2 linked regions of the Callithrix jacchus genome follow. The protein of the gene in region 2 interacts with the protein of the main gene of each other region in a pairwise test. Links are inferred from orthologs where the notes say so. Each region holds a gene or a part of one and is shown on either strand. Other genes may lie near its edges.

Region 1 (4,445 bases), on a different chromosome or scaffold from region 2:
TTTCCTGGCAACTCTCCTTGTTCAAAGCTACATGAGAAGGGTGAGGGGAGGGGAGAGGAAAGCATAAATATCCTCTCCCTTTAAGATAATGTTTTTAGTAAATAGTTTTTTTTAGTGATTCTAATTTCTAGTTTATAAGGTACTTTTGTTGCTGTTGCTTTTAAATAGTCCATAATCTGGCTACTCAAAAAAAGCTGCAAATGCTCCAATTTTCCTTTTTCCTATGCCAGGAAGCCAAGAGAGTCAATTCTGACAGTTATATTTTCCTTCCAGTTACAGATTAAACTGTTTCCTCTTTTGAAATATATTATTCATGAATGTGAACAGTTTGCAACCTATAGCTCCTCCCATCCATAGATAGGAGGCGTGGTGGGTGGCAATTGCTCCTTCACTTCATTGGTTGCTGGGGATTGTGTAGGTCTAGATCTTCACACTCTAATCCCTGAGCCAGGATTTTTCCTTAGCCTTCCATTTCTCAGAGAAAACCCTCTGCCAAGGATGGCTCTAGCCCATGATATCCCAATCCAGATGTGTTTAGACAATAATTCCTCCCACTAGATTGGCTAAAAGGGTCAAAATCAAGTAATAATGATAATTTAAAACTGACCACTGAGTCACATCTAAGTCTGGCCAATAACCCGGTCCATTTATTTTTAATCTCACCAAACACATCCTGAAAGTGTGAGAAGGAACTCCAACCTGAATGTGCCATTAGCTCAGGGCAGGCTGACCCAGGCAGCTGCTAAAGAAGCAACTTTCCACATCTAAGTGCAGGTGTCCATAGGAGTAACCAAGAGGCACATATTGTTTTTGGTTTTGTAGATTTGCTTAGTTGTGCACAAGTGACTTATTAGCGTAAAGTAACTCTCATTTGTATGTGAATAAGTAGGTATTTTCTTTGTCTTTAGTCCTAGGCATTTCCATCCACTGTATCATTTTTTAAGAAAGCACTTCCCATCGTTTTAGTGGGGGAACATGCCCATCTTGTATTCCGACTGTTCCTCGGCACAAGACCTGACACAATTATCTTACTGTCTTAATGCCACGTGCACCAGACTTTCAACCTGGGAATGGATGGGAACCATCTCACCGTCCCAAGGAGTATGGGCCGTCTGTTGCTGAGGTCAATAGGGTCATCTGCTCTGACAAAAGTGTAGTTATCAGAGCTTCTACAAAACTCATTTTAGCTGAATTCCAGCTGAACTGACTATTGGGGAAGATGGGGGGAAGGAAGATGTGACAATTTCTGCTGACCGTGGAGCGCCTCCACATCAAACCCACAAAACTGTGTGTGTGTGTGTTGTGTGGTGTGGTGTGGTGTGTGCACGGCAATGCTAAAGAAGGATGCACGGGCTAACTGCCAGAGGAGAGCTGTCCCGGCCCTTCCCAGTTGGCCGCTCGGCCTACCTTGACCACATCGTCGTTGAGGTGTTTGGGGTCGCGGTTGACCAGGTCGATCTCCTTGGTGTGCGCGTCGTAAACTTGCTTCTCACTCAGTTCGTCTGCCATGGCCTTGTTGTTGGGCTTGTAGATGTTGCCCTGCTCCCGGATGGGAACGGTGTAGAGATGTCCCTGCAGAGGGCGGAGGGCGGACGGCCAGGAGCGGGAGGGCGGCAACGGTGGTGGGAGGAAATATTCAAAAAGAAAAGCAAGCGATCAGAAGTCAGCCCGGCGGCGGGAATACCTCCGGCTTGAAATCGAACTAACCGCTCCGACAGCGACCGCTCCGCGCACAGAAACCGCCTGCGCGCCGCCAGCTTTTTAAGAGGATCTCTCCGAGGACACCACACCCCTCGGTACTCGGTGGGGCGCGCCTGCCTCCCCCGCCCGCCGCCAGGGGTCAGGGCAAGCCCCGCCGCGAGGTCCTCAGGCCCCCGCCCCCGCGCTCGCCCCGGCTCAGCCCGCAGGACCCGCAGGACCCTGGCGGCGAGGGGGCGGCCTCGGGCTTCTCCCGGACCCGGACCCGTGTGTAGCGCCGCTCTAGCCCCGAGCGCTTCACCTGCTCCGCGTTCCAGTCCCCGGCCCCCATTACCCCTGTCCCCGTAATCCCTTCCAGCTTTGTCTAAGACCCAACAACAGCCTCCCGACCTCTTGGCGGTGTCCCCCTCGCACCTGCCCGCGCCCCCCACCCTGCCTTGGCCCTCTCTCGTCCCTCTACGGTACTCCCTCCCCAATCCCATGCTTTAATCACAATCCCGAAGCTCCTATCTCTGGCGGAGCCGCGCGCCAGACCCCCTAAACATCCCAGAACTCAGTCTCACCTGTGCAGCTCCCCCGACCCACCCTCAGGGCACCCCCAGGCTGCGGGCGGGAAGACGAGTTCCCCACACCCGGGCAGAGCTCCCGCGGGTGGATGGGGTTGGAAGAGGTGGTGGCAGTTTGGGAAGGGCAGGTCCACCCCTCTCAGAACGCCCCTGACAGAAGCCAAGATGCAGGAGTTCTTGAGACGGTTCAAGAACTTTGGAAAGTGCAAACACACCTCGCGCCCCCTCTGGGGCCAGCCAGTCTGGGCGCCGGCAGGGAGTCCCGGGGACTGTCCCCAGGACTCGGGTAAATAACTCCGCCTCCCCCTGCACTCCACCTCCCCGAACCCCCAGCAGGCAGGGCCGGACCATGGGGGTCCCGCAACAAGGGAGCATCCTAGACCCATCCAGAGAAAGTGTCCTCAGCCCGGCAGACCCAGTCTCAGGACCCCAACCCACTTTTCTGTGTCCTCGTAGTTTAGGGGCTCCCTTGGCCCTCTCCACATTAGGAAAACATAAAACATTCCTGGCTTCTCTTCACCTCCCCGCCCAGGCCCATTCCTCAGCGGTGCCAACCCCAGAGGAGTGCTGCGAAGTGGAGAGAGGTCTGGGGTCAGGGCAGCAGTCGGGTACTTGGAGAGGCAGAAAGCAGAAGCGGGCACTCCCAGCGCGCCCCCACAGAAGCCTACCTCCGAGTCTACGTATTTGCCCCCAGACATGCTGGCCCGTGGCTGGATGAAGGCTCTGAGATTTCTCTGGGCTGTGATTTAAGGGAACTGAGGAAGGAAGATCTTGTATTGTAAAGGGGGGGGGGGAAAGGCGCTGGCGGGGGGCGGTGGCTGGGAGGGAGCCTCCTGGCCGCCGGCCAAGGGTTTGTTCTGCTCGCGGTTGGCCCGGACGTGCGCTGTGCCGGGTCTAGGCACATCCCCAAGGTTCTGGCAGCAGAGGGCGGGGAGCGACCGCAGCCAGCAGAGAGCGAGTAGAATGTTTCTCCCGTTCTGGGTTGCCTGGGGAGAGTATTTTAAACCCGAGGCAACATTTTTCCAGCTCTGAACCACCAAGAGGCGTCCCTGGGAGAGCGAATGTTTTCGCAGTGCATCATCTCAGCAGGGGTGGAGGGAGCCGAGGCGCCTGCAGAGATGCCCAGTATGGGCAACCAAGGCGGCACAATCCTGCCCTGTCCTAAGCCATCCCCCCTCCATTCCTCCGCCCCGCCCATCGCCCACGTTCCGTCTCTGCCTTAAGACACATCTGTCTCCCTGTTTCACAGAGGGAGGGGTGAAAGATGGCTAGGAACCTTTAGGTATATTTTACATCTAAACTTTGTGGATTCCTTGTGGAAGGAATCTGTGTGGGTGGCAGTGGTGTACTTTTGGTGACACTCGTTTACATCTAGTCGGTGTGGATGGAAACTTAAGCAGGAATGCAGAATCTGAGGTTTCCCATCCGTTTCTGAAATGCCTCCCAAACACTTCGAAATAAGAAAGGAAGATGTTTAACTTTTCTGTAGTTTTATTACCAATCTATTCTGGAACAATGGAAATTTATGCCAACAGGTTATACCATATTTGCAAAATACATAAAGTATTTACAATTGTAGAATTATTTGATTAAAGCTTCAGGTTTATGATTATAGAAGTTTTTTTTTTTAATGTGCTTGGCTGTGAGGAAAGATTTGAGTTTTCTAATTGGTTAGACTTAAAAAATGTGATAGTGATTAAAGTACTTTGTCTGTTCCTGAATTTGGGGCTTCTCTCTTGATTTTATTGTAAACAAGCACAGAGTGAATTAATTAAATAGTAATCAGTCATTTTACTTTTGGGTGATAATTAATCGGAAACTCATTATCCAAAAATGAAAAAGACAAGTTTATGATTCCATATGTAGTCAAAAGTCAAAGTATCACTTGGAATTTTAAAAATAAAATAAAATAAAATAAGCTGGGAGTACACCTGAAGGGGCACAAGCTAAAATTAAAATAGAGATGGGAATATGGGGTGGGAGTAAGAGGGAGGAGAAAGGGAAATGGATGTAACACCGAAAGAGTTGATTATCTAGTTGGAGAGAAGACACAGTATAAAAGAACTGTAAAAGACAGGCAATGGTTGGTAGCAAAAATTTTTGGAACAAAAGATCAGTTTTAACTAAGAATGGCAGGGAAAGAATGGCAGGGAAAGAATGGCAGGGAAATGGCAATTTTAG
Region 2 (4,272 bases):
TGGTTTTCCTTTACGAAATCATTTAAGTAGGAACCATCTGGAAAGGTTACTGTGGAAACAGCAGGGACTGGAAGGTGGGGCTAGAGAGCAAGAGATGCCATGACAACCTTTTTCGGGTTTCCCAGGAAACATGGGTTGCTATGGGAACTGCATCAGTCAGGTCCGAATTAGCAACTTCCGCTGGAAGGGGTGTCTGCCACTTTAATCTTCTTGCGATACTGCCGAAGCTTATCTCTCAGATGCATTAGGAAATTTTTTGTTTCTCTCAGCAGCACTGAAAACATCTGTTTCTAGACTTTGATAGATGTTGGGGCTGGGACATATGCACAGAACTTCACAGGAATCTGTTAGTCTAATGCTTTAGAAATGCTTAGCAAGCCCGAAAGAATTAAACTAATTAGTCAGATCAGGACATCTCGGGCATTTCCCTTCATTCAAAGTTGTAGAGACCCTTAAAATTCTGGGAAAAACCAAATAAACTCGTGGTGGGTTTACAAGTCATTATTCTAGTTAGAGTCTTCATCCACATATCTACAGGGTAGGCAACTGAAATACTTATTCAGTAAATAATGTTGAAAGGTCCATCATACTGAAGTATCATTTACTACAAACTCATGTGCTTAGGAAAGAAACAACTGCCATTAAAATTCTGAGGTTAAACAGTTACTCTAACTGTTCTTTAGTTTCGTTTCCTCCCAGGATGTACTGCTTTTTTTTTTTTTTTTAAATAGGGCGTGTACTAGAAATGAAGTTTAATGTAAGTTTGTTGTTTACAATATTGAGAGAGAGAGAGGGTAAGAGGAAAAAGGAGAGCTGAGAGAATGCAGCCCACTTGCAAAACAGGCACCTGTTTCAGTATGAAGCAGTAGGGAGAGGGAGAATGAAGTGTGCTTCCCACTTCTTCAGGTCCTTTCCTTGATGAATGGTCTGGAAATGTATAAAACAAGGGCATAGGCAGACCAAGGGGGCACGTTCCACACAATACTGAGCACAGCATGTCACTTGTATTATATATTAAACATCGGTGAATATCTTTTTGATGTTGACACAGGAGTTGGGATTATTGTTCGTGGTGCAGGTGGCAGTGGAATTGCCCGTTTTGAAAGGGATCTGGGGGAAAGCGCTATGGTTCATACCCCCCTCTTCGATCACCATATACTCCGACTTACTCAGAGTCGAGTTACTCCTTGCTTTTCGGAGCTCCTCGGCTGAAGAGGAGAGGTGCTGGCAACTTCCTACGTGCATGTACTGGGCTTGCTCTTCCCCTTCCGTCTCCCGGTGGTAGAAGTAATTGAAGTTGGACACAATCACGGGAACTGGCAATGCGATGGTCAAGACACCGGCGATGGCACAGAGAGATCCCACAATCTTGCCCCCTATGGTCACTGGGTGCATATCACCATAACCCACTGTTGTCATGGTTACCACTGCCCACCAGAAGGCATCCGGGATGCTGCTGAAACCTGAGGTGGGGTCGTCTGCCTCGGCAAAGTAGACCGCGCTGGAGAAAAGGATGACCCCAATAAAGAGGAAGAAGATGAGCAACCCCAACTCTCGCATGGACGCCTTCAGCGTTTGCCCGAGGATCTGCAGCCCCTTGGAGTGGCGGGAGAGCTTGAAGATGCGGAAGACCCTCACCAGGCGGATGACCCTCAGGATGGCCAGGGACATGGCCTGCTGTCCGTTGCCCTGTCGCTCGGCCAGCTCTGTACCCAGAGTGATAAAATAAGGGATGATGGCCACAATGTCAATCAAGTTCATGATGTTTCGCGAAAAGGTGGCTTTGCTAGGACAGGCGAAGAACCGCACCAGCAGCTCGAAGGAGAACCAGATGATGCACAGGGTCTCCACCACGAAGAAGGGATCGGAGAAGCTGGAGGCTCCCCCCGAGGCCCCCGACGTGCTGTTGCCGGCTGCATCGAACGCGTCCTGCGACGGCGAGGAGGGGTAGTCCTTCTCGTCGCGGAACTCCGGCAGCGTCTCCAGGCAGAAGATGACAATGGAGATGAGGATGACCAGCACGGACACGATGGCGATGCCCCGGGCCGGCCCGGAGCTCTCGGGGTACTCAAAGAGCAGCCACACCTGGCGCTGGAAGTCGCGGCGGGGCAGGGGCCGCTCCTCCTCCCGCAGGAAGCCCTCGTCCTCGCGGAATTTCTCCATGGCCTCCTCGCCCAGCTGGTAGAAGCGGATCTCCTCGGAGAAGATGTCGATGGGCACGTTGACGGGCCGGCGGATGCGGCCCCCGGACTGATAGTAGTAGAGGATGGCGTCGAAGCTGGGCCGGTTGCGGTCGAAGAAGTACTCGTTGCGGAGCGGGTCGAAGTACCTCATGCGCCGCTTGGGGTCGCCCAGCAGCGTCTCGGGGAACTGGCAGAGGGTCTTCAGCTGCGTCTCGAAGCGCAGCCCCGAGATGTTGATGACCACGCGCTCCCCGCAGCAGTCCTGCTCGCCCGCGGCCGGCAGTGAGGGCGGCAGCGGCTCGTAGCGGTCGCAGCCGCCGCCGCCGCCGCAGCCGCCCTGAGGCGGGGCCCCTCCACCGTCCGCCGCCTCCGGCTCCAGCAGGTGGTCCCCGGGCACCACGGTCATGTCGGGCGGCAGCTCCGGGCCTGCGGCGGGCTCCGAGTAGCCGGGGTTGACCAGCGTGTGAGCGCCGCCGCCGCTCGCGGGGCGCTGGGGAGGGTGGGCGCGGTGGCGGGCGGAGGGCAGCGGCGGCGAGCGCAGAAGGCTGAGGTGCTCGTCCATGCGGCGGGGAAGAGGCGGCGGCGGCGGCGGGGCCGGGTCGCTCCTCCTCGCGCTCCCCGCCCCTTCGCCGCCTCCGCCCCCGAGCGGAGCCCGCCGCCTGTTGCAGCTGCCGCCGCGAGGCTCGGTCAGGGTCTGGCGCGGTCCGCCGGGCTCCCGCACAGAGACGCCTCCTCCCTCCGCCTAGCGCTCTCCGCCCCCTCCCCCGCGGGGCGCGCGCCCGCCTCCGCGTCCCTTCAGGATTCCCGCCCACTGCGCGGGCGCGCATCTCGCGCCCTGAGGGAGCCGCCGGGCCTTCCCTTCTTACCGCCCTCACGGACCCTCGGTGTCAGTGAAGCGCCCTCATGTTGCACCTCGGCGCCCCGCGGGAATGCCCACCCAGCGGAACCGGCCCACGGGGAGTCCGGCTGCCGGCCCCGGCCCCTGGGCTCCTCCCGCTTCTGGTCCGCTTCCCTCGCCCCCGACCCGCGTGGCGGCGTCCCAGTAGCCAGGAGCTCCTGCGGCGGCCCCGCGGGCGCCGGCCCCTTGGCCTTCACATTCCCCCCGGGCCAGCCCGGGGAGGGCAGGAGGTCCCGGTGTCCGGGGAGGGAATGCAGGCCAGGCGGGCGCCCTGGGCCGGAGGCAAGCCTGACACCGGCATCCCAGGCTCACTTGAGGGTCGAGGGCCGCCAAGCCCTGGAAGGAGCGTGGGGGGGGGGGTCTAACAATTTAGCTCCTGCTAGGATGAGAAGCCGAACGGAGTAAGGGTGCTGATGGGCTTCGCAGACTGAGTCCGAAGGAAATGGACCCTTAAAGGCCTTCGGGCCCTGCCGCTTTAGTGATTAGTTCACACCCATTTTCGCTGCGGAGATTTCGGCCACTGGGAAGAATCAAGGACCAAGTTTCCGATTGGGATTAGCAGTGACAGCCTGGCCTTTGTACACTGCAGAGACTTCCTGTCGGCGGGGAAGTAAGAGGAAATGGGAAAGGAAATTCACATCGTCTAAGTTGTGTGGTTACAAAGTCCCACTCTATGGCTCAAGTGTGTCGTGGAAGGGATGAGAGCAGGATCTGTACCTAGACTTTTTACTTCATATTTCAGCACTGCCCTTGTGGTGGGGAATTTGTCAGGCTTTATTTGTTAAACCCGGGAGGGCATTCATTCTGCAACTTGTACCTCTTGCTTGATCTGGGCCCAGAGGTAACTTACATGTATCTTCTTTAAACGTATTTTTCCAAATTGTTGGGGTTTACTTTGAACACAATTGTTTCCAGAAATTTTAACAATCTAATATAAGCTAACCCTAGGCTTTAAAGAGTCCATTTTTTAAATTGTATCATTCAAATCATTTACGGAAGAGGAACTGTTGTCTAGACAGCTCCTCACCCACCCCAAGTTCGCTGACAGTTCAATTTGAAGTAAGTGATTTGTGGTCAATACTTCCCACCACCACTCCCAACCGTAGGGTTCTCTAGGGCTCAGAGTAGGTCCTGGCCAATTTATACTGCTAGCATCTACCAAAGTGCTTTGTAAATAGTGGGGATCAGTAC

Evidence for each region.
Region 1: the proteins of KCNA3 (region 2) and CAV1 come close enough for resonance energy transfer, tested with the Homo sapiens proteins (2 studies listed by BioGRID). The link is inferred for Callithrix jacchus from reciprocal best matches to the Homo sapiens genes KCNA3 and CAV1.

The regions. Positions count from the first base shown.
Region 1 is NC_133512.1:87,103,961-87,108,405, reverse strand, and holds the start of CAV1 (caveolin-1), read right to left. Parts: upstream 2,987-4,445; 5' UTR 2,963-2,986; coding exon 2,933-2,962; exon of another isoform or gene 2,262-2,932; intron 1,573-2,261; coding exon 1,408-1,572; intron 1-1,407. UniProt on the Homo sapiens protein: May act as a scaffolding protein within caveolar membranes. Forms a stable heterooligomeric complex with CAV2 that targets to lipid rafts and drives caveolae formation. Mediates the recruitment of CAVIN proteins (CAVIN1/2/3/4) to the caveolae.
Region 2 is NC_133508.1:148,535,364-148,539,635, forward strand, and holds KCNA3 (potassium voltage-gated channel subfamily A member 3), read right to left. Parts: upstream 2,880-4,272; 5' UTR 2,746-2,879; coding exon 1,015-2,745; 3' UTR 672-1,014; downstream 1-671.